5 linked regions of the Xenopus tropicalis genome follow. The protein of the gene in region 1 purifies or fractionates together with the protein of each later gene. This does not show direct contact. Links are inferred from orthologs where the notes say so. Each region holds a gene or a part of one and is shown on either strand. Other genes may lie near its edges. The genes, in order: hscb, sdhb, sdhaf1, iscu and suclg2.

Region 1 (5,251 bases):
GTCTTCTCCCGATTTCCCCGCCTACGGCTGGGGGATATTGGGCAAATTTAGGCTAATTCGGTCATTTAACCCTGGGCCCAAACTACTGAATTATAACGACGGGTATAGGCAAAGTCGGTTCGGGGACTGCATCAACGAGTCAATGTGATCCCCAATCGGACTAAATCTTTTAACCTGCCCGATTGATATCTGGCCAAATTCAGGGCAGAAATTGGTCAGGCATGCCCGTCGTTGCTGCCCCTACACGGGCCGATAAGCTGCCGAATCGGTCTAAGGGACCGATATCGGCAGCTACAATCAGCCAGTGTATGGCCACCTTTAGTCTGTTGATGCGAGGAAGCCACAGCTCCCAAACTACTGCTACTTTCTAGGCACAGACTCTGTGTCATGAGTGGAAACCCTTTCTTCACTGGGAGGTACCAGTATGTAAGATTCCAGCACTGCTGTAGAAACTCCCTGGACTGTTGCTTTATTTTTCATCAAGGGACACCAGATATAGATGTACATGTAGATGACCTTTCATCTGATAATCCTGCTCTTGTGACAGTCGTTGATTGCCATTGATTATGTTTAAAGGAGCTGTCCACCTTAACATTAACTTTTAGTATGACATAAACATTGATATTTTGAGACAATTTGCAACTGGTTTTAAGTTACTGGTTGCTAGTGGCTTGTTTACCTTAACAACCAGGCAGTGGATTAAATGAGAAACAGAAATGGGAAGGAGAGGGCTTGAATAGAAAGTTAAGGAAAAAAAAAATAACAATAATAATAAAACTGTGAGCTAGCAGAGGATTCGTTTTTCAGCTGGCAGGGTCTGTGACCCCCATTTAAATGTTACAAAGGTGTAGAAGAGGAAAGCAAGTGCAACAAAAACTATACAAAATATATAATGAAGACAAATTGCAAAGTTGCTAGAAATAGGACACTCTAAAACATACTAAAAGTTAATGTAAAGGTGGACCACCCCTTTAACTCAATCCATGTCCGTTGTCTGAGCCCAGAGACTAAATTGAAGAAATATATGCTTGTCATTAAATTTGATAAGTTGCATTGCTACCTCCCAGGGTATAATTTCTTGAAAGAAAAAAGGTGTAAGTTGGAGTGGACATAATTACAAACCCACCTTACCAGTGTTTTACAATTGAAACTTTTTATACAGTACCACTCATCAATCATTTGTTTTCGGGACTATTTTGTAACTGTTCATTGCAGATAGTAATGTCTTGTGTTTTTGATTTGTCTTTACAGTGAAAAATCATTTAATGTTGACACTCAGGAACTGCAAAGAAAATACCGCAATCTTCAGCGTTTGCTTCATCCAGATTTCTTCAGCCAGAAGTCAGAGGTAAACAAGTTGTTTGCTGTTCAGCAAGTTCCTATTGCCAAAATAAGAACTGTGTTTCGATAATTAACAGAAATTGATAGGTTTCTTTAAATTTAAAAAAGAAGCTAAAGCTAACCTGAGGTTGGGTCCTAAGCTGTCTGGAGGAGAGTGGAGGAGAGGGGTCGCCAACCCCACCTCCACTACTTCTTTGCAAAGATTGGCAGCAGGTAACAGGAACGAGCCAGAGCAGTGCTAGAATTGCTTATGCTTATATTCCTTTATTCTTCATTTAAATAATCCATGAGTTGGCGCTGCTTGCTCTGCTCGAAACTGTGAACTGTGAAGAACAGCACTGAACCCTCTGATAAGTGCTGACTTCTTTTAGGGCTGGGCTATATACCGTTTAATACCGAATACCGGTGTTTTTTTTTAAAAACTATATTCATTTTTCAGATACCGCCATACCGGGGTGTCAGGGTACTCACGCGTGCGGCCCGGTCTCGTGCGTCCCGTTGTCCACGGGACGTTGCGCACGCGTGTCCAGGTGCACGCGCGTCAAAGCGCACGTACATGTCAAAGCGTGCACGTCCGCGACGCGCTGACGGCGCCGGTTCTGCGCATGCGTGGGGGGAATTTAAAGCTATCAAACGCCTCCTCCTGTGCTATGTTGTCTGCGGCCTTGTCTGGGAAACTAAGCCTGCCTGATTTACCTTACGACTTTCTGTTGCCGCTTGCCTTTCAATACTGCAGTAATTATTCTCTAATTTATTAGGAAATGGGGTTAACACCTAATCATGCATGGAAAAAATAATACCGTCAAATACCGTGACACCGATATAATTTTGAAAAATACCGTGATATAAATTTTTGGTCATACCGCCCAGCTCTAATTTATAATTTAAAGAAAAATAGCAATTTTTGTTTACAAGCTCTATTGTCAAAAATCCTTTTTTGGACATAAAGATATATGAAAATGTTTACAGAAAATCTACAGGCTTGTTTCCCAATGTCAATTCTGAATAAGAAAACCACAGTATTTTGTAACCTAAATAGACACTGATGATGGATGATAGTCTTCAAACATACCTCCTTTTAAGATTTTTAATTGATTTGTTTTTAATTACAGTATAATTTGAAAATCATTATAAAAAGTGGGCATGGAATTTATATACACATTTTATTCTTTTTTTTTAGAGTGAACGGAACATATCAGAAAAGCAGTCAACAGTGGTTAACAAAGCTTACAAAACCCTTCTATCACCTTTAAAGCGAGGAGTATATTTGGTAAACTTAATATATATATATATATATATATATATATATATATATATATATATATATATATATATATATATATATAAATTGTATTTTTTTTTCCAATATTTAAGCATTTACCTACCTTTACCTTTAACTACTACTTGTTGTGGGTATGTACTAACCAGTAGTCAATTAACAAAGCTTAATTAACAAATCTCATGTAAAACTTTGTAATTAAAAAAAAAAAGTCTTATATGAAAACTAAAGAAAGAAAAAAAATAATGTAAACTGCAAAAGTGTTCTGAAGGACAACTTTGATTTTAATTGGGGTCACTTACCCTTTAACAAGCCCATCTTGCATGGCTGGTTAAGGAAACTTCTATGCTTCTTGCTCCCTAATATGGAAAGAAGTATTTCAGCTACCTAATGTTGCTTTGAATGTATTCTTAGATTAATCCATGTATTTGCTTCACTTTAAAGCAGAGGGGTGACTTTGCTGTAATAAATGACAGTACCTTCTGGTATCTTCTTTAGCTGTTGACTTGCTTTATATTATAGTGGGATCTATACATTGCTGAAGATAAATTGGAGCTCCAAAAATGTGAACCTTGCATGTTTATTTATTTCCCAAAGCTAAGTCTGAATGGCATAACATTAAAGGAAGGAGCGGACGATGAAGTGGATACACAATTTCTCTTTGATATATTAGAGCTTAATGAACAACTAAATGATGCAGAAACTAAGGATGACATTGAAGAAGTTGGACATTTTGTACAAGGTAAAGGCTGGCTCCTTATTCAATATTTGCTTCTTATTCTTATAGGACTCATTTTTCTGTCTTGACCCAGAAGTTACAGAAGTTTTTTTAACATTTTTATTAGAACAGTTACTTAACACAAGAGCCTTACTCCTCTTCAGAACTTTAGAATTGGCCTGAGCCAGCTATTCCTTTTTTTCTTTTATGTGTATATTTCAAACTGTTGATCTTCAGTTAGATTACATCAGCCTGGATAAATGTTTCACTTGACCTTAACAGTGAAGGCAAAACTCAAGAGCGTGGCCCCCCATCTGTCTAGCTGGTGTGACTGCTTACCTTTGTGTAAATAGCATCAGTACTGAGCTTAACTGCCCCCCTGCAATGTTCACACCTCAGATTCGGGCTGCAATCCCCTGCATTGTTAACATCTGCTTTAAGAGTTTGTTCAAATAAAGAAATAATCAGACCCAGTTTACGCCTACCTGTTTGGCAGATTATTGCTGCTTGCCAGTAGGGGGCCTACATATATTATTTGGCTATGAATTACACTTTTTATAACTAAAATCTCCAACCAATGTATTTGCATTGCTCTTTTTGTTTGTTTAAATAAAGCCTGAAACCTACAACCAGTGCCCATTTATCTTAGGGGGGAACTCGCCAAGCATAAGTGATCTGAGGCCAGCTACAGACTAAATTTGCTCTGGCTGAAGCTCATTCCTGTGGTAAAGGGCTTTTGTTCAGCACTTGTTAAGCCTATTGAGTGTTTCCCTAAAGCTCATTTATCACAGCAGGAACTTATGCTTCACCATTTTGCTTCAAATGCTTTAATTTTCATGGAAAAGCCAGTAGACTACCTTTACAGTTGAATATATGGTAAATTTTTTACCGTATACAAGATATGCATAGTATTTGTTCTGTGAAAAATGTTGCTAATGACCAGAATTATGTTTTTCACAGAACAGTTGGTGTCATTGACAAAGGATTTGAGAAAAGCTTTCCAGCAAGGTACATTTTTTAGTTGATCTTTTAATGTTTGCAGATATCATGAATGACTGAAAATAGAATTTGCTTTCCCAGAAATGGCAAATTCAAACAAAGAATACAAACAGTAATTCAACTGTTGTCTGGATACATACAGGTATATTGATTTATTGGCAGTAAGGGGCAGATTTGTCAACATTCATATTTTTTTCATTTCCCTTTTCTATTTATTGGTGTTTTTTATATACTGATTTTTTTTTTTTTTAATAAATAAGGACACATTCGTACTTTTTAAAAATGTGAGTTTAGTCAAGGTTGAAAAACCTCTAAAATTACACAAACACATTTACACAATTCTGATAAACATGCCCCTTTGTGTTTGCTCTTGACCAGTTACCATGAGTCCTGTGATCGTTTGCATGCTAGTTTTGACATGGTATATTTAACTGCATGTTAGTCATTACTATAACTTTATAGTCAGTGGTGTGACTACAAGTGACCAGTCTCCTCACAAAAAAAAAATCTTTAGGGGGTCCCTGTGTTTAGGTGCATGTACAATGTCACCTGCCCAACACACGCTTATTTGCAGCGGATGGCCACATTTTGGGTAAAATATCATCAGTGAGGGCAACTACAATACAGCAAACCATCCTGCTCTTCCTGCAGCCCTAGGATGGGCTATAATGTAGTTAGGCCGATGGTTATGGTTTGACTACAGACCTGTAAAAGCGATTGCACCAATACACTACTATGTGCCCATTATAGTTATTCTGTACTTGCTGTTGATAGCATGTGAGCCAACTCCTGTTAGAATCTTTTACTGTCCCAAACACTCCAATTACATTCCTGGCACCTTTGTGTAAGCTGTAATTGAGGATATGAAACAGAAACTTTAAAATGAAGGTAATTAACCCAATAAAACTAATTTT
Region 2 (6,699 bases), on another chromosome or scaffold:
GATCTCACCATCAGCATAGGAAGGGGTTCCTCACTGTAAGGACAGTCGGATAATATGGGGGTGTCTCGGCAGGTGAATATGTTGGTGCTGGGGAAGGAGCTGGGGATCCCCAAACCCTACGGGCCGGTGATTAAGGAGAGCTGCTGCCTGGAGGATCACATGGTGTCACTGATGAAGCCGTTCGAGTTGAACTGCACGTTTATCGAGGACTTTACCTCGTACCACAAGAAGTTGGGGGAGGTGCATTGCGGCACAAACGTGCGTCGGAAGCCGTTCCCGTTCCAGTGGTGGCGGATGGAGGAGCCGTAAGAGCCGGACCCAGCAGGGGACCTGTATCTGGGCACAATGGCTCCAGTAGGCATGGGGGCGCCCCCTACTGATAGGGTCACACAGTGTTTCCCAGTCAGGGATCGACCAGTTTGTGCCTTAAAGGGACCTTGGCCCGAGACTCCTCCTCCCCGGTGCCGCCTCTCTATATATTTTAGCCTATAATAATCAACCAATGGGAAGAGAGACAGGGGGCTGGGCCTCATTCTCCTATACACCCCCCCCCCCCCCAGTCTGTACAACTCCCTGCAACCCCTGAGGGCAAATCACTCACGGAGGAAGCCGGGCTCAGAACCAATAAGACAATAGGCTGTGATTCATGGCAACCAATCAGATGTCTGCTTCATAGGACTAATGGGCAGGAGGTGGAGACAACTGCAGATTGGTTGCCATGGTTACTGCCCTGCTTCTGTAAGTGCCCAGTTAATCAGTGTAACCTTATTGGAGGGATATAGTGCAGGACGAGTGCCCCACTTAGCTCCGCCCCTATTCCCATGGTGCCTCAGTAACCAATGATTGTCATTTCCTTTACTAACTCGTTATTCCAGGAACAAGTTCTGTTTGTTTTCTGTAATAAAACTTCCATTGTGTTACGTTCTGTGCCTTTAATTTCCTGCTGAGTCTGCCCAGTTACCCCCTATATACCCCCAGCGGGTGGGTCCTGCCCCACAGTGTCTGGTGCCCCCAGGAACCTCCCCCTGGGTAAGTGAATCCAATCTCCCCCCAGTACTTACCCAGGTACAGAGCTCTGATTCTCTGTACTTCCTGCTCCTGGGCTGCTCTCTTTCCCATGGTCAGGCAGGAACCCCCTGGGTAAGTGAATCCAATCTCCCCCCAGTACTTACCCAGGTACAGAGCTCTGATTCTCTGTACTTCCTGCTCCTGGGCTGCTCTCTTTCCCATGGTCAGGCAGGAACCCCCCCCTGGGTAAGTGAATCCAATCTCCCCCCAGTACTTACCCAGGTACAGAGCTCTGATTCTCTGTACTTCCTGCTCCTGGGCTGCTCTCTTTCCCATGGTCAGGCAGGTACCTCCCCCTGGGTAAGTGAATCCAATCTCCCCCCAGTACTTACCCAGGTACAGAGCTCTGATTCTCTGTACTTCCTGCTCCTGGGCTGCTCTCTTTCCCATGGTCAGGCAGGAACCCCCCCTGGGTAAGTGAATCCAATCTCCCCCCAGTACTTACCCAGGTACAGAGCTCTGATTCTCTGTACTTCCTGCTCCTGGGCTGCTCTCTTTCCCATGGTCAGGCAGGAACCTCCCCCTGGGTAAGTGAATCCAATCTCCCCCCAGTACTTACCCAGGTACAGAGCTCTGATTCTCTGTACTTCCTGCTCCTGGGCTGCTCTCTTTCCCATGGTCAGGCAGGAACCTCCCCCTGGGTAAGTGAATCCAATCTCCCCCCAGTACTTACCCAGGTACAGAGCTCTGATTCTCTGTACTTCCTGCTCCTGGGCTGCTCTCTTTCCCATGGTCAGGCAGGAACCTCCCCCCTGGGTAAGTGAATCCAATCTCCCCCCAGTACTTACCCAGGTACAGAGCTCTGATTCTCTGTACTTCCTGCTCCTGGGCTGCTCTCTTTCCCATGGTCAGGCAGGAACCATGACAGTTACACATAACTATAAACCCAGTGAGAATGAGGGATGAATGGGTATTGGGGAGTTGTATCAGGAGTCAGAACCAGCAGTGCAGGGAAGGGAAAGGGACAGACACAGTGACAGTTACACATAACTATAAACCCAGTGAGAATGAGGAATGAATGGGTATTGGGGAGTTGTATCAGGAGTCAGAACCAGCAGTGCAGGGAAGGGAAAGGGACAGACACAGAGAATGAGGGATGAATGGATATTGGGGAGTTGCTCAGATTTATACTTTCATTAGGTTTTATATCTCCTTTAATTTCCTTACACTTTGCTGCCATCTGCTGGACATGGGCAGAGTTGCCCCTCACGCTGCGGCAGAGACAGGAGTCGGAGACTCAGAGGGGCAATAACCTTTAACCATTTCCTGACTGAGGCGCTGCCCTTATCCAATAGATGCCCCTGTCTGTCCTTCCCCCAATAATAGCTAATAACAGGGGGCGACCTTTTATATCTGCAGCTCAGCCAGTGAATTTGGGGGGCAGGGCCACTCTATGCATGCTGTTAGTGCCCCGCCCACAGGGACAGTTTGGCTCCTCCCACTTGTCCTTTATTGCTTTTGCTGAGGCTTTACTTACCCTTTAAAAGGTCTCTTCCCCTCACCCACCATGGCCTTATTGGTACAACAATTACCCCAGGGGCATTTATAGTAATATTGCGCACTAAATCGATGAGACGTTGCTATAGCGACTAGCGAGAGGGAATTACACAACCAGTTACTCAACATCACATGACCATGAAACACCGCCCACTTTTATTTGTGAGTAAACCATAGAGATCGCGGATCCGGGCTAGAGCGCCCCATCCCCCCATAGAGCTGAGAGAAAAGGAAAACGGACGCTCTAGCCCCGAGCTCCCTCTCTCTGAGCGGGAAAGTAACGCCTCTCTATGGTTATAGCCCCGCCGCGCTGCATTGTGGGAGGCTGGCGGAGTTACTGGTGTCAGAGGAAATATGGCGGCGGTCGTGTTCTCCTTGAGACGTAGCGGGCCGGTGTTCCGGTTACCGGGAGTCCTGCAGGTCAGAGCCGGGTCGGGAGTGGGAGCAGTGACCGTGGGGCTGTCTGTCCCGGTGTCATGTCTGTCCATTCAACTGCAGCTTATGCCTCTGCCCAGTATTGGCCCCTAGGGGCCCCAGTTCCCTCTCATGTTGCTGTCAGTGCATAGGGCCCCCCCCAGGTTCTGTGTAGCCTCTGTCAGTGCCCAGTATTGGCCCCTAGGGGCCCCAGTTCCCTCTCATGTTGCTGTCAGTGCATAGGGCCCCCCCCCCAGGTTCTGTGTAGCCTCTGTCAGTGCCCAGTATTGGCCCCCAGGGGCCCCAGTTCCCTCTCATGTTGCTGTCAGTGCATAGGGCCCCCCCCCCAGGTTCTGTGTAGCCTCTGTCAGTGCCCAGTATTGGCCCCTAGGGGCCCCAGTTCCCTCTCATGTTGCTGTCAGTGCATAGGGCCCCCCCAGGTTCTGTGTAGCCTCTGTCAGTGCCCAGTATTGGCCCCTAGGGGCCCCAGTTCCCTCTCATGTTGCTGTCAGTGCATAGGGCCCCCCCCCCAGGTTCTGTGTAGCCTCTGTCAGTGCCCAGTATTGGCCCCCAGGGGCCCCAGTTCCCTCTCATGTTGCTGTCAGTGCATAGGGCCCCCCCCAGGTTCTGTGTAGCCTCTGTCAGTGCCCAGTATTGGCCCCTAGGGGCCCCAGTTCCCTCTCATGTTGCTGTCAGTGCATAGGGCCCCCCCCCCAGGTTCTGTGTAGCCTCTGTCAGTGCCCAGTATTGGCCCCCAGGGGCCCCAGTTCCCTCTCATGTTGCTGTCAGTGCATAGGGCCCCCCCAGGTTCTGTGTAGCCTCTGTCAGTGCCCAGTATTGGCCCCTAGGGGCCCCAGTTCCCTCTCATGTTGCTGTCAGTGCATAGGGCCCCCCCCCCAGGTTCTGTGTAGCCTCTGTCAGTGCCCAGTATTGGCCCCCAGGGGCCCCAGTTCCCTCTCATGTTGCTGTCAGTGCATAGGGCCCCCCCCAGGTTCTGTGTAGCCTCTGTCAGTGCCCAGTATTGGCCCCTAGGGGCCCCAGTTCCCTCTCATGTTGCTGTCAGTGCATAGGGCCCCCCCCAGGTTCTGTGTAGCCTCTGTCAGTGCCCAGTATTGGCCCCCAGGGGCCCCAGTTCCATCTCATGTTGCTGTCAGTGCATAGGGCCCCCCCCCCAGGTTCTGTGTAGCCTCTGTCAGTGCCCAGTATTGGCCCCAGGGGCCCCAGTTCCATCTCATGTTGCTGTCAGTGCATAGGGCCCCCCCCCAGGTTCTGTGTAGCCTCTGTCAGTGCCCAGTATTGGCCCCCAGGGGCCCCAGTTCCCTCTCATGTTGCTGTCAGTGCATAGGGCCCCCCCCAGGTTCTGTGTAGCCTCTGTCAGTGCCCAGTATTGGCCCCTAGGGGCCCCAGTTCCCTCTCATGTTGCTGTCAGTGCATAGGGCCCCCCCCCCAGGTTCTGTGTGGCCTCTGTCAGTGCCCAGTATTGGCCCCTAGGGGCCCCAGTTCCCTCTCATGTTGCTGTCAGTGCATAGGGCCCCCCCCCCAGGTTCTGTGTAGCCTCTGTCAGTGCCCAGTATTGGCCCCTAGGGGCCCCAGTTCCCTCTCATGTTGCTGTCAGTGCATAGGGCCCCCCCCCCAGGTTCTGTGTAGCCTCTGTCAGTGCCCAGTATTGGCCCCCAGGGGCCCCAGTTCCCTCTCATGTTGCTGTCAGTGCATAGGGCCCCCCCCAGGTTCTGTGTAGCCTCTGTCAGTGCCCAGTATTGGCCCCTAGGGGCCCCAGTTCCCTCTCATGTTGCTGTCAGTGCATAGGGCCCCCCCCAGGTTCTGTGTAGCCTCTGTCAGTGCCCAGTATTGGCCCCTAGGGGCCCCAGTTCCATCTCATGTTGCTGTCCCATTGCCCCAGCCCCCAGTCCCTATGTACTCTGATCCTGGGGAAGGGGGTAAAACTGAATGAAACCATGGTAACCAGGGGCAGAAGGGGCTATTGGGGGGGCCCCATGTGGGAAGGTTCGTCTCTTAGAGCTCAATGGGCCAGAAAGGAAGTTCTCCCTGATACTGTAAGTAGCCGCTGGGCCCGGTATGTAACCCAGAGTACCTGTGCTGCTATTGGCTCCTTCAGTAATTAGGCACAGGGTCACATGGTCTCCGGCAGCAAAGGGAGGAGCTCAGTGACCTTGACTGTGGCCCCATCATAGGAGGCCCCCTTCCAATACCAAAAGGTGCCATGTTATTTCTGGGGCCCCCCAGAGCCAGAGCGAGTCCTCAGCCAATCAGTTCTTCTGGCCTGACAGCCCCTAACGGGATGGGGCAAAGGGTGAGTCTTTCAACCCTCCCCCCACCCTGGGGCCCACAGTGCTATTTGGTCACTTTTAGTCCCTCCGGCCAATACCTGTAGTTCAGTGAGTAAGTGCCACTGGGTATTTAGGGCGGGTAATTACCCACAGGAATAAACCATTGCGCTCAGGGGACTTTGCCCTTCCTGGGTGTTATTTTCCTTTACTCCTCGGTGCATTTACTTTCCCACTGACCTTTATTATCAGAGAAATCCCATCATGCACCATTCCCTATTAATATCACTCATTGATAATAATAATCAGTACAATAAAACATGTACTTTCCACCAATAGGAGGCAGGTGCTGCTATAAATCCCCCCGGCCTATAGAGCGCAGCATTTAGCAGACACGGCCCAGACCCAATACTGTTAGTACATCCCGGTGATCCCTAACGAGATCTAAATGACAGAATGGGATCAGAACCAAAATGCAGCCGCCGCCGTGCTGGGAACTGCTCTCTAGTGTGGTTGGTGCTCAGGGGAGGTGTGTAGGCAGCCGTGAGCCAATCAGAGCTCAGCTTTTTGCCCTGCCTGCCCTGATGACTTAGGGCTAAACATTTCATCAGATTATGTGGGTCAGATTTTATGTGATCATGTGACCAACTGCATGAGATTGTGTGGGGTCCTACAGAACCGTGAATGTGATAGGGACCTCAGATTGTAAGCTCACTGGGGCAGGGGCTGATGGGAATGGGATAGGGACCTTAGATTGTAAGCTCACTGGGGCAGGGACTGATGGGAATGTGATAGGAACCTTAGAGTGTAAGCTCACTGGGGCAGGGGCTGATGGGAATGGGATAGGGACCTTAGATTGTAAGCTCACTGGGGCAGGGACTGATGGGAATGTGATAGGAACCTTAGATTGTAAGCTCACTGGGGCAGGGGCTGATGGGAATGTGATAGGGACCTTAGATTGTAAGCTCACTGGGGCAGGGGCTGATGGGAATGGGATAGGGACCTTAGATTGTAAGCTCACTGGGGCAGGGACTGATGGGAATGGGATAGGGACCTTAGATTGTAAGCTCACTGGGGCAGGGGCTGATGGGAATGGGATAGGGACCTTAGATTGTAAGCTCACTGGGGCAGGGACTGATGGGAATGTGATAGGGACCTTAGATTGTAAGCTCACTGGGGCAGGGGCTGATGGGAATGTGATAGGGACCTTAGATTGTAAGCTCACTGGGGCAGGGACTGATGGGAATGGGATAGGGACCTTAGATTGTAAGCTCACTGGGGCAGGGACTGATGGGAATGGGATAGGGACCTTAGATTGTAAGCTCACTGGGGCAGGGACTGATGGGAATGGGATAGGGACCTTAGATTGTAAGCTCACTGGGGCAGGGGCTGATGGGAATGGGATAGGGACCTTAGAGTGTAAGCTCACTGGGGC
Region 3 (4,849 bases), on another chromosome or scaffold:
AGATGTAGGAAACAAGATGTTAGGCTAATGCCACATACGCTCGGGTGCAGGCACATGTAGCCGATATACACATGAAAACGCGCAAGAATGCAAACTCTCGCGTTTTCATGCGTATATCGGCTACATGTGCCTGCACCCGAGCGTATCCCTTTCATTCGGGTGCAGGCACAAGTAGCAGGCGTTGGGGCTGAGTTTTCGGCAAGCGTTTTTCCGCTTGCCGAAAATTTCAGCCCTACGCCTCGTGTGGCATTAGCCTTACACGTTCTGCTAGGGGGAGCGCTCCTGCTGTGTGCGCATGCGCCTCCTACAGTCTAAGTCATGAAGTCAGGGGAAGAGCGTTGCATTATGGGAATCTTCTCTACCCTGCTCAGCGTTTTTTCTACCTGTTTGGCTTCTGAACTTCTGAACAAGTGAAATATGGGGAGACTTAAGGGCACTATTGAGACAACTGAAGGTATGCCTGCAGCTTGAGATTAACTCTTTATTGGCCTTTCCTTCTCATTTAATGATCAACTGCACAACTGTTCCCACATCCCAGTAGAAAGTAACAGTACAATCACATACCCTATAGAGCAGGGAGCAGGGGGTAGAACTGCCCCACATCCCAGTAGAAAGTAACAGTACAATCACATACCCTATAGAGCAGGGAGCAGGGGGTAGAACTGCCCCACATCCCAGTAGAAAGTAATGGTACAATCACATACCCTATAGAGCAGGGAGCAGGGGGTAGAACTGCCCCACATCCCAGTAGAAAGTAACAGTACAATCACATACCCTATAGAGCAGGGGGTAGAACTGCCCCACATCCCAGTAGAAAGTAACAGTACAATCACATACCCTATAGAGCAGGGAGCAGGGGGTAGAACTGCCCCACATCCCAGTAGAAAGTAACAGTACAATCACATACCCTATAGAGCAGGGTGTAGAACTGCCCCCACATCCCAGTAGAAAGTAACAGTACAATCACATACCCTATAGAGCTGGGGGTAGAACTGCCCCACATCCCAGTAGAAAGTAACAGTACAATCACATACCCTATAGAGCAGGGAGCAGGGGGTAGAACTGCCCCACATCCCAGTAGAAAGTAACAGTACAATCACATACCCTATAGAGCAGGGAGCAGGGGGTAGAACTGCCCCAAATCCCAGTAGAAAGTAACAGTACAATCACATACCCTATAGAGCAGGAAGCAGGGGGTAGAACTGCCCCACATCCCAGTAGAAAGTAACAGTACAATCACATACCCTATAGAGCAGGGGGTAGAACTGCCCCACATCCCAGTAGAAAGTAACAGTACAATCACATACCCTATAGAGCAGGGAGCAGGGGGTAGAACTGCCCCACATCCCAGTAGAAAGTAACAGTACAATCACATACCCTATAGAGCAGGGAGCAGGGGGTAAAACTGCCCCACATCCCAGTAGAAAGTAACAGTACAATCACATACCCTATAGAGCAGGGGGTAGAACTGCCCCACATCCCAGTAGAAAGTAACAGTACAATCACATACCCTATAGAGCAGGGAGCAGGGGGTAGAACTGCCCCACATCCCAGTAGAAAGTAACGGTAACAACCACATACCCTAAAGATCAGGGTGTAGAACATACAGGTTGAGCCTGAAAGAGCACAAAGGAATACAAAACGGAGCCTCTGTCTATACTGTCCAATTGCATTCTGGGTATTGTAGATATATATTAATCCTAGCTGTAGGCTAATTGTTAGATACAAACTACATTACCCGGCATGCAGTGGAACAAGCATACTAGGGGAAAAAACTTTGGCTAGTTTCCAAAGTACAAATGTGCCAAGGCTCCAAAACTGTACCTTGGTGGGGTTGTACCAGGGCTTTAAATTAGTAGCCTAATTTGGTGGAAAAACTGCCAACCTGGCAACCCTGGTTAGGGATGCAATGGCCAGGGCAGAAGGTTGTCTCTATATAGGATGATCTTTTTCCCAATATGCCCACATATCATATTTGCCGCTATGCAGGCAATTGGATTATGGACCACATCAGTGCACTGTGTACCTGTCAATACCTTGATCCAAACGGAAAATCAGACCTGGCCAATCCTCATCCAGCCAATGTGTGGCTGGATGACACAGTGGGTAGGAGGCTGTAGTTGCAAGAGTTATACTAATTAACCCTTTGCACAGATAACGTGGAGAGGTTTATTGGCCTTTATAATGTGTCCTGTACTTACTCATTGCTGTGGTATATAAATCATGAATTCCATCTTGTTTTGTAGAGGTTCCCTGGACCAAGATGCCTGAAGAAGGAAACAAATCATCTGCTCAAGGCAACACAGCGCTTCCCTCATATATGAATCAGTCGCTTGCAAGGGAAATATTTTTACAGTAGAAAATTATACTAATGTCTTTAAACTTGAACTTTTAAGCTAACATAGATGTGAGGAGGCACAATGGTTAGACACAGCAAACTACAAAAGCAGATTCTGAGTCTTTACAGACAGTTTTTACAAGCCGGCAAAGAGAAACCTGGGTTTGTACCCAGAATCAGAGATGAATTCAGAAGAAATGCAAAAATTCCAAAGACTGATGTTATGCACATAGAGTACCTTCTGCGGCGGGGGCAACGGCAACTGCAGCAACTACAGGATGCAAATACAAAGCAACTGGGAGCCTTCATCAGATCCCCAACCAATCAGAACAATTAATATGTTTTCTTATAAAAAAGATTTGATATTGGTACAAATGTAACTACTCTTTGTATATAAATTATTTATACTATTTATAACAAGTTGTTTGCTCTTACTTGGCCTCTGTATTCCTTTGGTAGGATGTTTGCAAATGTACCAACCTCATAGTGCTTTATAAACATGACCGCCTCCATAAACTGCATATTAGTGATGGCTTTTCATGTGTATTGTAGAGGAATAGTTAAGGCTAGCAAAGCTGGGCATGTCAGAATAGAGCTGATAATGAGCAATTAAATACACTACTGCCACCTTTCTCAAAGTAAAAGGCTGGAGCACTAAGATCTGAACCTTGTGGCAACTTAGCAGTAAATTGGAGTAAAGAGACATGGGGGGAATTCACAAAAGTGGAGAGAGACCTTTTTTGTAGTAAAAGTGGTGAAAAAACTGGTGGAAAACACTTTTTTTTCAGATTCACAAACAGAAATCCGCATAAATTCCGACTCAACCGCCACTTTTCCGTTTTTGGTGAAAGAAAGACAGTTTACAGACACTTTTGTGAATTTGTCGTTTAAACAACATTTTTTCCCAACATTTTCAAAATGGAGTAAAGCTCAGTGTAAAGGTGGCCACACACGTGGTGATTTCCGATCTTTTGTGCGACCAATCGGCCATTAACCGTTCAGGGCAGATAAGGAGGTAGAAACAATAGGATTTCTACCTCCTTCTGCCAATTCAGCCCTGACGGCAGATTTTGCTCAGGCGCCTTCTATGGAGCCCGATCTAAGTCTTTTAACCGGTCCGATCGGCAAGTCGACCAATAGCAGCCTCCTGCGATATCAGTTGACTTGCCATACACGCACAGAATATCGTACGAAACAGAGCTTTACTCTGTTAGATCAATTCATGAACAAACAACAAATATTTCTGTGAGATAAAATAACATTTAATGGCTCAAAATTAAACAGCAATCTCACATATAAACAGGGTGGTTTCTGCAGCCCTTGGATATGTATATTTTAAATGGCTGATATAATATGAGCTTATTACAGGGTTAGATACTAACCCTGTACACTGTGTAAATGATATATTGGGGGTATTAAAAGGAAGTGACACTAACATGCCACACCTCCTCTGATGAAGCACCCATTGGTGCGAAACGTGTTAGGAGAGTGGGTACCATGAGACACTTGGATGCACCTTTCCATTGTTTGGTATAGTATGGTTTGTTTCATTTGAAATTGTTTGTTTAATTTTGAGCCATTAAATGTTATTTTATCTCACTGAAATATTTGTTGTTTGTTTATATATTGATTCAGGGCCTATCAGTGGGATATAATTTATAGATTCCCTTTCCTAATCTAATCTATTGTATCTATAATATATAATATATTGTTAGATCAATTCTAAGATCTTCTGTTTTGTTTCACCCAGTCTTCATTTCAGACCTAAGGTAGGGGCCCCATTGGGGGATCGTTAACATATTAATGGGGATTAGCAGCCTATTGTTAGGGGACAAGTATCTGTCTGACCCTAGAACAATAGGTGCAAAAAGCCTCATTAACATTTTATAAACATGTAAAACAGTGATTTTCAATTTATATCTAAAGTTTTTACTTTTATAATATATATTATTTATATATATATATATATATAAAGTTTTTACCTCACATTTACATAATTATGCACATTTTGGGATATTGGGGTACAGGGTTGGACGGCCCAACAGGGCAGTGGATAAAAACCCGCTGGGCCCTAGTCCTGTTGGAGCTCTAGTCACCGGGCATGTTGGTGGGGGGGCCTGATTGCTGCTGCCCAGTAATGAGTAGGGGCTAGAGAATAAGGTATTTAGACCCTTAAATCTTGTTACAGAAGTGGCATTACACAGAAATATAGAAAAAAATGATAGTTTCTCTGTGCAAACTAAAATTATCCCTCAGGAAATGCCCCCAAAGTGAAATGGCATATGAAATGCAAAATCCTGCTGGTAAAATCCTTATTCCAAGGTATGTGTGTATGTATATCTTTATTTATAAAGTGCTACTTATGTACGCAGCGCTGTACAGTACAATACATTAATACAAACAGGGGGTTATTAAGATAAAAGATAAATACAAAGTATAACAATAAATACAAATAAATACAAGATACAGTTGCAATAAGTTAAGAGTCAAAGACACAAGAGGATGGAGGTC
Region 4 (6,557 bases), about 4.2 Mb from region 1:
ACCAAGGACTGGTTTCCAGCAAGACAATTTTTCCAAGGACCGGGAATGGGGGGTGGCGCAACTAGTGCATAGTATATAATTTAATTATTACATATATAATGTAAATGTAATTATTTCATTTTATATTATGCACTTTATTTTATTAATATTACTACATTATAAAATCTAATACAGCTATCATAATACATAATCATATATAATATCAGTGGGAGACCTGAGCTTGTTTCCCTGCAACTAGATGCGCCCAGCCCCTTTGCTCTTCTTACTCTTACCTAAGTGGTGACATCCCCTGCCGGTTAGTATGGAGCTCTAAAGAGCAAGGAAAGGCTTCTACTATAGCCCTTAATATATTGTAGAGCCCCCTTGCCTGTAGTAGATTGCCAACTTTATTTTTTAAAATAATGCTCCCTTCTCCCAAAATGTGCCTTTTAACTTTGCTCTATTTGCACTCTGTAGCGTCAGCCATCTTGGATCTTTTGTGCACCTAAATGCGCATCCTCCAGCTCCCCCCAGCATCGTCCCTGCGGCGACCAAACTTCCCCCCCTGCTCCCCGCAGCACTCGCCTGCTCCTTCTGTGTCCGGCTAATGGTGCACGCTCATAGGGGCCAGCTCAGATGGTAGGGGAGCATGCCTGCTTGTGTCACTGAAGAGAGACATGCGCATGCGCCGCCTAGTGTCCTGGGTTATAGGGTCTGTGCAGGAGCGATGCATTATGGGAATCCTCTTTACCCAGCTCGGCGTTTTTTTTTCACGTTTGGCTTCTGATCATCTGAACGATTGCAATATGGGGAGACTTGAGGGCACTATTGAGACAACTGAAGGTAAGCCTGCAGCTTGAGATTAACTCTTTGGTAGCCTTTACTTCTCCTTTAAGTACTTTGGTCCTTGTAGCAATCAGTAGAAAGCTTCCTGGGCTTTGCATAGCTGTTGTCATGGCTGTGTGGGACCAGAGGTGACCCGATTCAGCACAGCCCATAGCCCAGCACCTGTCCCCGGCCCGGTGGTTGGGAACCCCTGATTTAAAGCACATAGAGGCCCAAGCAACCCTGCACCAGCCCAATATATAGTGACTTTCTGTAGGGCTAGAAATGGGTCTGGCAGAAGAGGCATGTGCCCAGGGTACAATGTAACCTGTCACTAGTCTGGGCTCTTGTCCTCCCACTTCCCACTCGTCATTTACCTCCCCAGTAGTCAACATGCATGCATGCATGCAAAGGGGTGAGGTGGCTGGCTGGGTTGCCTAGGATGCCCAGCCGACTTGGCCCAGCACAAACTGTCCATGGCCATAGGCCTCTGCAAAAAGAGGCAAGGAAGGCCACTTGCCCCCCCCCCCCCTAGAATTCTACACACCTGACCCAGATCGGTGTTGAAATGTAACATATTGCCCAGCTTGTCCTTGGTTTTTCTCAGCTACCTGCTCCTTGAGAAAAGAATTAAACAATAAAACTGTAGCTTCACAGAGCAATAGTTTTTTTGTCTCAGGTGTCAGTGATCCCCTTTTAAAAGCTGCAAAGAGAACAAGATGGCAAATACTGTAATTCAAAAACTATGGAAACAAATAATAAAGACTTAAGAATATATAATTGAAAAGTTTAATAGAATTGGCCTTTATATAACAAACTAAAAGTGAAATAAAAGGTGAGCCATCACTTTAAACAGCCCCCTGGTTCTACACTTATTAGTTGCGAGCAGCGTTACAGGCTTTGCTAATAAACCTAATACGTACGTAAAACACAGTTTGCTTTTTACTTAATGACTCTTCCTCCCCGCAGTTTTTGCGGACACCCATGTCTATGACAAATACGTACAAAGGTTCTTCTAGCCTGGAATAAAAAACTGACCAAAACCAACTCCGATATCGCGCTACTTTATTACACTACTGGATGTAAACTACATCAATTCCACTTCCACGTTAGCGATAATAGGCATAAAGAGTCCCTTGACTTTGCGGTTGAACTTGGTAAACCTAATAAAGTTATAGGGCAACAAAAGAAACTTATCCCTGCAGAATGAGCTAAAGCCCAAGTACATGACAGCTCCACACTTCAACGTTACACATAATAGAACGCTGAACCTTATTACGCAACCTGGCTGCAACAAACTTTATTGTTGGTTACGCCCCCTCAGGCCATGTGACCCGCACGTTGTGTGGCGTTGGCACGCCGCGTCCCTATTTGCTAGCTGCGCGAGTGGAGGACGCTATGGCTGGCGTGGGCCGGGTGTTTTGCTCCTTATGGAGAAAATGTGGGGTGCACGAGTTTCGGGTGCCTTGTGCTTCTTATCATAAGAAGGTATGCAGCGCTGTGCGTGGGGCGTACGGGGCCAATACGGAACAGGGTAGTGTGGGAGCAGGAAACGAGTGTTACATAAGGTGACACAGGTGTCACAGTGACAGCGCTCGCCTCGCAGCCCATACTATAAAGTACTTATTGCCAATGCAAGCCGACACGTTTATCTTTTAACACCGTAACCATCTTTACAGAGGACTACAACATGAGTCGTTTTAATTCTTAATAGAAGGCTGTCAGCTTCGGTTGTGGTGAAATACAGTAACAGCAGCCAGTGGGGTTGTCAGCTTCACTTCCCCGAATGGCTTGAGAGAAAAGGTGTCTCAAGAGAGAAGCCGAGTTAGCAACTGATAGGAATTGACAATGACTGACTCTAGCACTCTGAGGGTATAGGGAATATGGTAAAACTTTATGCTAAGTAAGACATGTTTGCCATAAGAGATACTGACATCAAAAATGTATTCTTTTTTTTTTTACTTCTGTCATACCATAGGCTTTGCATGCTATTGATTAATTTGCCAGAAAAGTATTCATCATGCTGTCCGTTAGAATTACAAGCTATAACTGACTGGCTAAGAAGGGACAGTCAGGTTGGTAAAACTGGTTTAGGACTTCAAGTAACAATTACTCACAAATGCAGCTCTTTCGGTAAAAAACGAGCAACATGACCTATAGGCAACTTTTCGTGGACATTTGTATTTTGAAGAGTAGTTTTTTAGTGTCAGTATCAAATGTACATATATAAATATAATTCACTGCACCACTACGGTAGCTGAAGTGTTTCAAGGTTATGAGGGGACATTTACGGGAGAATTCAGGAAAAGGAAATATTGTGGTTGTGATGCCAAATTCTCAGACTTATTTTTCTGCCCCTATAGACAGTTTTGCAAAAAATATCATTAAAAGTATGCATGGCTATCTTTCTGTCAATACCTGTTGTGAGTTTCTCATACAAGGCACTTTTGGCAAGCAAAAACACATTTGTCAAAAACAAATTATACATCTCTAAATTACTTTTTGTTTTCATTAAGAATTTGTGCCACTTTATTTCCTTTGGCTGCTTTCCTGTGTCAACAACACATACAATTTGGATTGTGGCATGATAGCTAATCTTCATCTTGGGGGTGGTCAGTTTCATTCCTTCGCTGCTAGTTGATTGGCAGACCTGACATTATATTTAACTACATCTTTCCTGGATGAGGGCAATCCTGTGATTTGGTAAAGACCAAAACACCCATATTCACTGGCACCGGTATTTAGTAAAAGTTAAAAGTATTTAAAACAATTTAGAGATATATGACTTTTAAAATGCTCTGATGGTTAATACGACAGCACATAGTATAGATAGGGATTTTGCCATTCTTTTGAATGGGAATGAAGTATGGGTCAGGATAGGTGTTTTGACCTTTGTAACTCTCCTTGAAAGAACTAAAGCACTGTGATGCCTGTGCTATAGATATTACAGATGTTTGTTGTTTACAAGATAAAATCTGATGCAAGTGTTTACAGGGGCTCAGCATTCATTGCCTTCCATTAAATTTGCAGCTTATATACTAACTGAGCAAATGGCAATTTTACACAAAAACTTTTGTACCAAAGTTAAGGTACATAAGCTACCAAATAAGGACTGTGTTTAGTTATTTGGTAGCCCCTATGTGAACTGGCAGACTACAGGAGGCTCTGTTTGGCAGTGCACATAGTTTTTATGCAAAAAAAAAAACAAAACTTGTCTGTAAGCCAGAAATTAAAAAAATAAACCCCTGCTTTGAGGCCACTGGGAGCAACATCCAAGGGATCGGTGAGCAACATGTTGTTCTCGAGCCACTGGTTGGGAGTCACTGCCCTAACCCATATAGGCCTAGATCTAACTAATTATATGCAGTGCTCCCTAAAACAGGGTTAAATCTAGCATTTCAATAAAAGTGGTTTGGTGCTTATTTTACAGAAATGTAATGTTTGTATTCACGTTGTAAACAAGGCTGGCATAAAAATGTGGGTCAATATAGTGACAGAACATTTCACTATTAACAGCAGTATCTCTGTATGCTGAATAGTACCATTTGTACTCCATAGTTTTTCACAGCAAGCAATAAAAAAAAAAAAACATTGTACAGATTTTTTTTTTTTTTTTAAACTAATTCATTTTTGTTAGTAATAATTTAAAGGAGAACAAAAGTTATAATCACTGGTAGGTGCCAAAATGTTAGGAAGGAAGAGGATCGCTCACCTGCCTGTGTAACAGGAGCACCAGCCAGGGGTTTCACGTAAGTGATTACAATCACTGGTGCCTTGTGCCTAACATTTGACTCTCCTCAGTGATTTAGCCTTTCCTTCTCCTTTAATTAGACTTTTTCAGATTTTGTGGCCAAGCTTACGTTTGTGTAGGTTTCATTGTTCTCTGGCACTGTTCCCTGGCATCTGTAATAGATTTGCAACCATGTGTGACTTTTTGTTGCCACAAGATTAGCAGCAGAAGTAAACATCTTGTGACTTGTTCAGACCACAAGTTCTTTTTAATTTGTCACTTGTCACATAATCATAGAGGGCACAGAAGATGGCCAAGTAACCTTGGCCATATTTATACAGATTGCTGTGTTTCTGTCCCAGTGTAATTACAGGCCTCAGAATTATTTGCATTACACTCAAGAGCATATTTTTTAACTGTTTAAATTAACATCACCTCTAAGGACAAAGGAAATATTGTCTTCTTAATAGACTCTATAAGGACTAATGAAAGTCTATTAAGAGAAGATAAAACTGGAAATGACTACAAAATGTTGATGCATTAGCTATGACATCATGGGTTTTATATCAATACATCTATCTGTAGCAAAGTGTAAGCCGATGCTTCAAATGTGTGTTCTAAACAGACAGTTAAGAAAATTACCATTCTGCATGCAAAAATAACTGCTTGTTAAAGATGCTTGGTTGTTTTGTCTCAGCATTTAAATGGTGACTAAACCCCTGTACATATGTTTGTACTCAATGTGCATGATATAAACCTTCTGTTGTGCCCAAAGGTACATTTGCTGTATGACAACCTAGGTTCCCTCTCACTCTGATTAAACAAAATTTAAACAAAATTAGACTAGTGATACTAGTATACTGGCATGGGATTTCGTATCTGGAAACCCAATACCCAGAAAGTCTGCACACTCCATTTTAAGCAAATTGTAAAAAGGATTTTCTTTCTCTCAGTAGTAATAAAACAATGCCATGTACTTTACGGTAACTAAGCTGCATAAATCCATATTGGTCGCACAACATTGCTAGTGGGTTTATTGTTTAAAGTTTTTTAGTAGACTTAAAAAGGTTGTTCACCTTTTCTAAAACACTTAAATATGTTCACATTAACCAATACATAAACAATCTTTGCCATATAAATAGTTAACAAAAAATAACAATTTAAAGGAAACTATGTAGGTCTCTATAAAAATATATTGCATAAACAAGTTCATAAGTAAAACCCTGCTTCATCTAAATAAACCATTTTCGTAAAAATATACTTTTTTAGTAGTATGTGCTAATTGGGTACTTCTAAATAGAAAATTGGGTTGGGGAGCAACATGTTGCGCATTAGCCACTGGTTGGGGATCACTGCTCTAAGCTGTGGATTAGGCACCTCCAGTGAAACAGATCACTATTTTTCCCCAGGCTGGTGCTCCTGTTATAAGAAAACTGCACCGGCCTGTGGGGAAAAAATGGTATCAGCGCTGCGCCAGCATTTTATTTACATTCCAACCAGTGTCTTTTGCGTCAATACCTGTTCATGCGTGTGCACTGGGGAAACCTGTGAAATGTTCTCTACTGTTCATGAGCAGAATGCCAAACACCAAAGGAATGTTTTTGAAAAACAGATTTCAATGCAGGATTCTGCTGTAGAAGCTTTATTAACGGATGGGTTTGAAAAAAATCATGTTTTCCCATGACAGTATTATTTTAAGATACGGTATGATCCAAATTTTGGAAAACCACCTATTCCTACACACCAGCTCCCAAGCATTTCAGTTGATAGACCTGTGTTTCCTTCTCATGCTGAAAAGTACTTAGACCTCAAGTTTTTCAAACTTCTTTGTATTATGTAAGTAAATTGTATACCGGCATTTCCTCACAGGTAGTTGATCATTATGAAAATCCAAGAAATGTTGGATCCCTTGACAAGAACGCAAAGAATGTTGGGACTGGGTTGGTGGGAGCACCAGCATGTGGTGATGTCATGAAACTACAGGTAAATGCTGAGTGTTAATGTGAAATGGCTTTTCATAACT
Region 5 (6,197 bases), on another chromosome or scaffold:
CTGTAATTCACATGATGTAAAACTCATGCACTTGATTCTCCCAAGCCCATTTCCCAGGATTCGCTTTCAGGCAATTAATCATTTTGTCATCTACCTGCTAACCTTCTATTTTTGTCCACGAAGGCCCCGTTTGGCGGCTTACACAATTACACACCACAAAACGACCCCCGGCTTCCTTCTCGCAAGCTCTTCATTTTCTCATCGACCCATTTCTGCTTCTCTTCCATGTCCTCTTAGGAAGACTAACAAATGACAAAGGAAGTTCGGCCGGCGCATGATTTTTATGTTCCTCGCGCGCTGACCTTTCTCGGCAAGGAATATAAATGCCCGGTATATAAGTCTATTAAGTGTGACGGATTCCTTATGCCGGAGGCACAATTATAGGGATGTGATTGATTGAGGGACCCGAAAAAACAAGAGCTCCGTGAGAGGATATTTTTATTCAATAGAAAGCAGAAAAAAACCTGGAATACTTAACTCCAATATCTACATGTAAAGTAACCGCAACTAATTGTCTATAATTTCCCCATAAAGTGAATGGACACTTTGCCTTGGACTCCCAACCAACAAAAGATCTGTTTGACGGGTATAAAGAAAAGTAACAGCCCCTTGTAGAGTGTAAGCTCTTTTGGGCAGGGCTCCCTTCACCTCTTGTATCGGTTATTGGTTGCTTTATATGTTACTCCTTGTAGAGTGTAAGCTCTTTTGGGCAGGGCTCCCTTCACCTCCTGTATCGGTTATTGGTTGCTTTATATGTTACTCTGTATGTCCAATGTATGTAACCCACTTATTGTACAGCGCTGCGGGATATGTTGGCGCTTTATAAATAAATGTTAATAATAATAATTTTCCCATAAAGTGAATGGACACTTTGCCTTGGACCCCCAACCAACAAAAGATCTGTTTGACGGGTATAAAGTAAAGTAACAGCCCTCATTAAATGCAACTCCCAGCATCCCACCAACATTGAGGGTCTCTGTGTTCGGGATGAGTGGGCGTAATGTAATGTAAATACTACCCTAGAGAAATGTATTTTAGAGAAGGCCTCAGAGCTTTGGGAAGGGTTCCAACCCAAATATCATCTACAGTGAGACTGAAAATGTCTGTTTTTCCCCCAAGACACTCAGTTTGAAGTTGATTTACGTGAGGTTCGGGGGGGGGGGGGGGGTTGGGTTTACATTTATCCGCTTGTCTAGGTATCTTTTGACCTATGACAGAATGGCTGATCCAATCATCTATAACGAGCTAACACCAACCAGAAGATCAGAGAAGAAACGACACACACAAGGGACAATGGCCGCCAAGGCAATACTCATTTATTTGCTTCAAGTGTCTGTTAAAAAAGGCAAAGTTGTCACTCCTAAAAGTTTAGATGTAAAGTGGTTGACAGAAGACATTAAAAAAAATATTCCTGAAGACCAGCAGCACAGGATGGACCCAAGGTTGAGGTTTCTTGCGGAACATTAACAAAACCCATTAGAAAACAGGGAAAAGTTTGCCCCCAACTCATTAACCCATAGCAACCAATCAGCAGCTATGAAATAGAGTAATTAGTCGTGGTTGTTGGGCTTTTCCAGTCCAAACCCTACTTGGAAGGTCCAACCTTGGTCAGGGCTCCACTTAGGTCATTACATAGTCTCAAGAATATATGAGATTTGGGGTTTTCACCCCAAATCTCACACTCACTGAGCTCCTGGATGGACTCTAAAGTAACTACGAGGACCAATAGGCATTATCCCCAGATCTTTTACTAATTCCCTGCCACCACTTCTTCAGGCTCAAGGTTTGGGAACCACTGACTGAAAATAACAGTTGAACACATCTGATTGGATTGCTGTGGACAACATTTAGGGCACACCCCCTTTATTTAGGCATGACTACATGTCTTGATGGCACAGTTAGAAGATGTTAAGGCTATGGACGGAATACGGAAAAAGTAGACAATCGTTAAAAATAGAGATGTGTTTGAGACAACCTGGCCCGTCTCAGTGTAGGTTACACAGGATAGTAGCCTGTTTAATACAGTATGAGAAAGATACAAAAGTGCTCCTTGTGTAATGACTATATCCTATATACACTCCCCCCAATATTCCCATCTAAAAAGGCCAGGGCCCGCCTCCCAGGGATAGGTGGGAGGTATGTAATCATCACAACCACCAGAAACCCTGTAGCTTCCTACTCTAGCTCCCCAACAAGATGGCGGCTCTCTGGACTGGACTCCATTGGTGGCATATTGTAGAATTTCCTAATGGGTTTATAAGTTTCACCCACAGGAATAAACATTATGAAACTATTTTTGTAAATAAAATTAGAAATGAACACCCCCTTGGCACCTAGTGACCCCACAGTGCACGGAACAAGGCTATTGGCTTTCAGCACCGTATAAAACGACGTTTTTGGCTCATACACTAGAAAAACATCCGGAATTGCACGTAGAACCGACAGTTATTGTATCATTCCCCGTATAAAATTAGTGACCAATTACAGTTTAAATCAGGGATGTCCAACCATCGACATGAAGGACCTGAAGCTCCCAGTGTTAGGGGGCCCCCTGGTGGCCCACCCCCACTTTAAACAACATTAACGACACCCATAATCACTCATACTAGAAATTTAGAGATATAAACATTTGTGGGTTAAAATCAAGTACATTCATTATCAGATGTTCCGCTATTCCGATACGGAGTTTGAGTTCCTGGTAGAAACGGGCAAAGGCGGCTAATTCTTCGCTATGCTCGCCACGGCTTTTCTGGCTGCGTCGTCCAGGTCGTTGGCGGAGGTAATGGGCAGCCCGCTCTCTGCCAGGATACGCTTGGCTTCGTGGACATTTGTTCCTAGGGGAAAAAAAAAAAGGGTAAGTGATTGTTAGAACAAGTTTAATATTGAATTGCTTCCAGAAAGATGGGGTTTTTGGTTAGTCAAAGGGGGTGGGGCTTGGTAGAAGGGCAGGATATTTATGTATATAGTGGGTGTGGCTTTGGGTCTAAAGGTGTGGCTTTTGCAGGTCATGGTTAAACATGTACTGAAAAGAGCCAGACCCTGGAAGCAAGGGCTTTTAATGGAGTACTAAGGGGTCCATATTTGTGCCTTTTAGCTCTCTTCCACGCGCAGCCAGCATCTTTAAAACTACCCCTCGTCTCCTCCTTCTTCTCTTATGAGTAGGGGGGCATTGACAGCAAATGAGGAGTAAGGCAGGGGCTGTGGGCGGAGGTACTCCTTGCATTAGAGGAGGAAGTGGAGGCGGGGTTGGGGTGGGCAGGAGGCACCGTCATGGAGGAGACATGGAGTCTGGTGCACAGATTCTCGGATTAGGAGAGGGACATCACATGAAACAAGGTGAGGGAGGGGTTGGATGACTCTGCTAGCCAGGGCCGGAACTAGGGGTAGGCAGCGGCGGAGGCAATGACCGATCTAATCGCCCTGCCCCCCCTGCACCGCCTCCTGTGCTTTGGCGCGCATGCGTCGTTGGGGGGGGGGGGCGGAGTTGGCCGACTGGGTTGCCTAGGGTACCCGGTTGGCTTGGCCAACCCCTGCTGCCAGCCTACGGGAGGCGGGGAAATAGTCCCTATGTAAGGGCTCATGTAGGCCCACAAATGCAGCTGTGGTCCCTGCAATTACCCTACAGTCAGTTGTGTGCAAAATCACTTTCATTAAAGTTACTTCCATATAGCTGTGCTCATAGTAATGTAGTAAGTTAGGTTGAAAAAAAGACGTACGTCCATCACGTTCAACCATAATGCCTATATATAACCTGCCTAACTGCTAGTTGATCCAGAGGAAGGCAAAAACCCCATCTGCTCCGAGTCCCTACTACTTTTCGTTCCAAGCGCTGCGCCACCCATTGGTGCAAGCGAATCCTGGAGTTACCGCCCCTTCCTGTCCAGGTGGTAGTTCCAGGGTTCCCCTTCACGCCCAGCGTCAATAGGTGCAGCACCCTCATGCCTAAGGAATGGGGCGCAGATGTCCCTCGCATGTTGGACATCAGAAACGACGAAAGCTGACTGCAATAACGCTGGAATTCTGGGAAAAACATGGCAATTGCGTTTGCTCACTGCACCTGCAGATATAACCGCGCCCTATAGCGTTTATGCGCCACTAATTTAATCCCCACTCAATGAACATGTCACAAAGGGGGAGTGTTTTACATTTACAATGAAACTGCCCCCATCCCAAGGGGCACCCCAATAATTGATCCTTTCATCTCAAATCAAACGTTGGATTCTGCCCATTCCTCCCAGAGAGAGGGCTCATATAGAGCAAGGAGATGTCTCGCCCATATAAATCAATGGCGCGGAATCCTTTTCTCCTTGGCCCCCCATGTATCCAGATAAATAACATTTTATATTAACTATTTAAATCATTGCCTGTCTCCCCCCCCCCCCCCCCCCCCATTATGTTTGTGAAAACCACAGGTCTGTGGAGAAGATAAATGTTCCGACTGCTCTTTCCTTCCTTCCCTCGTTGGGGATTTGTCTTTCACAAGCAGCAATTAATGTCAGCCCTGTATTTATATCTTTAATTCTCATTATTACAGCGGCAGCAGCAGGACTGGGGGTGCAAAATTACCCCCCCAAATGTCATGCCGGGGGATGTTCTTATCAGGCGCCAGATGGGCAAGAGATTTGTTTGTTTATAGAAATACGACAACTACAATTGCCTTCCGTCGGCTGCGTTTGTTTGATCATATTCGGTGGCAAAAAACATATTTTAGTCTAAAATTCAATTACCAAATTTTAGAGATAATGTTGTTTTTAAAATAAGTTAGAATTAACCATAAATATATTTGCCTTTCATGCCAAACCCTATGGCCCTAAGGAAAGTCACACAGATTCTTTGCTCTCCTGAATTATCTGTAGGAAAATGCTGCTTTGGCCACTGGGTGGCATCAGAGAGCCACATAAACCCTCAGCGAGTCGCTAAACCCTCCAAGATTCAATGAGACGTGTATTTCCCAGCATGAAAGCAGAATCCGTTTAACTGTTTACAGTTCATTGCCCGGCGCGGTGCCGGTGCCTGCTGCATTAAGCAGAATTGGCCCCAAGTATACCGATAGGTGCATCTGTAGGCAGCGCAGAGTATCCACTGCCCAATGCCATACTCCCCCTAAACGAGTGGATCTTCTCCCAAATCAAAATGGCAACATAGGCGCCGTTGGACAGAGGGCTGCGTCAATGTGGTCCCCGATCTGATGGGAAAATCAAACCTGCCTGATTGAGATCTGCCCAACTTTAGGCCAGATCTCGGTTGGGTAGGCCCATATGGGGTGCACATACACGGGCAGAATCAGTCTGAAGGACGTGAATTGACTGCAGAAATCTGCCCGTGTATGGCCGCCTTTACAGCCCAAAGCTATAAAACTTTTTGGCCAGATTATAATTGTTCCAGAGGGGTCAAATAACTGCCTATGTGGACAACATAGGACACAAACTGCAAGGTCTTCCGGACTTGTGCTTCTTCCATGAATACAGTGTTGCTTACGTTCAGCCGCACTGTATTCATGAGGGACAAGCGGAGAGCCGTATGTGGGTGTCCCTTGGGGTGGCCCCAGCTTGGGCATCCTTCAAACACACAAGTGCAAATGGGGGCAGGCAGCTTTCACTGTTTGTCATAGAAACTGCCCCCAATTGTTGTTTAACTACAACCCATCCCTCTAAAGCCAAAACCTGTATATTGACAAATGCATAAGGCAAAAAGATATAAGGTATAGTTAGTAAGGGGAAAACCAGAGGAGTTGGCTCGCATGGCTCTATTATGTGGAACACAAAGCCTTAAGGCTACTAAGAGACACCATGGGTTAAGGCACTTTCCCCAATATGTATAAAAAAAAAAAAAAAAGGCACTAATTTTGCCCAATATAAGTAACCTATAGCAACCAATAAAATGTTTCCTTTTAAAAAGGTAAACTGACCAGTGCAATTTTGCCTGTTAATTGGTAACTATGGGTTATTGCAGCCGGGCAACCTTAGTGCCTTTTATTACATAACCCCCTTAGTACCATAAAATCCTACCGAGCGCTGATCCTATTTCATAGCCATAAAGTACATGTAAACCCCCCCCCACACACAATAATTTATTAATTCAGCGATCAGTCTCTTTGAAATCTTTAAATACCTGCCACTCATGTTCTTCAATGGTTAATAGTAAGGCTAGGGATATTATGTACCCCCTACTGTAAATGATAAGGATATTAGCAGTCA

The links.
Region 2: the proteins of hscb (region 1) and sdhb purify together in Homo sapiens (co-immunoprecipitation; 3 studies listed by BioGRID and IntAct, with this or other methods). This does not show direct contact. The link is inferred for Xenopus tropicalis from reciprocal best matches to the Homo sapiens genes HSCB and SDHB.
Region 3: the proteins of hscb (region 1) and sdhaf1 purify together in Homo sapiens (co-immunoprecipitation; 3 studies listed by BioGRID and IntAct, with this or other methods). This does not show direct contact. The link is inferred for Xenopus tropicalis from reciprocal best matches to the Homo sapiens genes HSCB and SDHAF1.
Region 4: the proteins of hscb (region 1) and iscu purify together in Homo sapiens (affinity purification with western blotting; 3 studies listed by BioGRID and IntAct, with this or other methods). This does not show direct contact. The link is inferred for Xenopus tropicalis from reciprocal best matches to the Homo sapiens genes HSCB and ISCU.
Region 5: the proteins of hscb (region 1) and suclg2 purify together in Homo sapiens (affinity purification with mass spectrometry; 3 studies listed by BioGRID and IntAct, with this or other methods). This does not show direct contact. The link is inferred for Xenopus tropicalis from reciprocal best matches to the Homo sapiens genes HSCB and SUCLG2.

The regions. Positions count from the first base shown.
Region 1 is NC_030677.2:150,463,921-150,469,171, forward strand, and holds part of hscb (iron-sulfur cluster co-chaperone protein HscB, mitochondrial), read left to right. Parts: intron 1-1,251; coding exon 1,252-1,348; intron 1,349-2,521; coding exon 2,522-2,611; intron 2,612-3,217; coding exon 3,218-3,362; intron 3,363-4,298; coding exon 4,299-4,346; intron 4,347-5,251.
Region 2 is NC_030683.2:131,924,686-131,931,384, reverse strand, and holds the start of sdhb (succinate dehydrogenase [ubiquinone] iron-sulfur subunit, mitochondrial precursor), read left to right. Parts: upstream 1-2,838; 5' UTR 2,839-2,918; exon of another isoform or gene 2,919-2,919; coding exon 2,920-2,985; intron 2,986-6,699. Other genes in the region: padi2 (protein-arginine deiminase type-2), read left to right, coding at 73-309. UniProt on the Homo sapiens protein: Iron-sulfur protein (IP) subunit of the succinate dehydrogenase complex (mitochondrial respiratory chain complex II), responsible for transferring electrons from succinate to ubiquinone (coenzyme Q).
Region 3 is NC_030684.2:131,182,639-131,187,487, forward strand, and holds sdhaf1 (succinate dehydrogenase assembly factor 1, mitochondrial), read left to right. Parts: upstream 1-2,332; 5' UTR 2,333-2,420; coding exon 2,421-2,675; 3' UTR 2,676-2,772; downstream 2,773-4,849.
Region 4 is NC_030677.2:146,312,623-146,319,179, forward strand, and holds the start of iscu (iron-sulfur cluster assembly enzyme ISCU, mitochondrial), read left to right. Parts: upstream 1-2,173; 5' UTR 2,174-2,202; coding exon 2,203-2,292; intron 2,293-6,403; coding exon 6,404-6,517; intron 6,518-6,557.
Region 5 is NC_030680.2:143,113,205-143,119,401, reverse strand, and holds the end of suclg2 (succinate--CoA ligase [GDP-forming] subunit beta, mitochondrial), read right to left. Parts: intron 2,835-6,197; coding exon 2,719-2,834; 3' UTR 1,290-2,718; downstream 1-1,289. UniProt on the Homo sapiens protein: GTP-specific succinyl-CoA synthetase functions in the citric acid cycle (TCA), coupling the hydrolysis of succinyl-CoA to the synthesis of GTP and thus represents the only step of substrate-level phosphorylation in the TCA.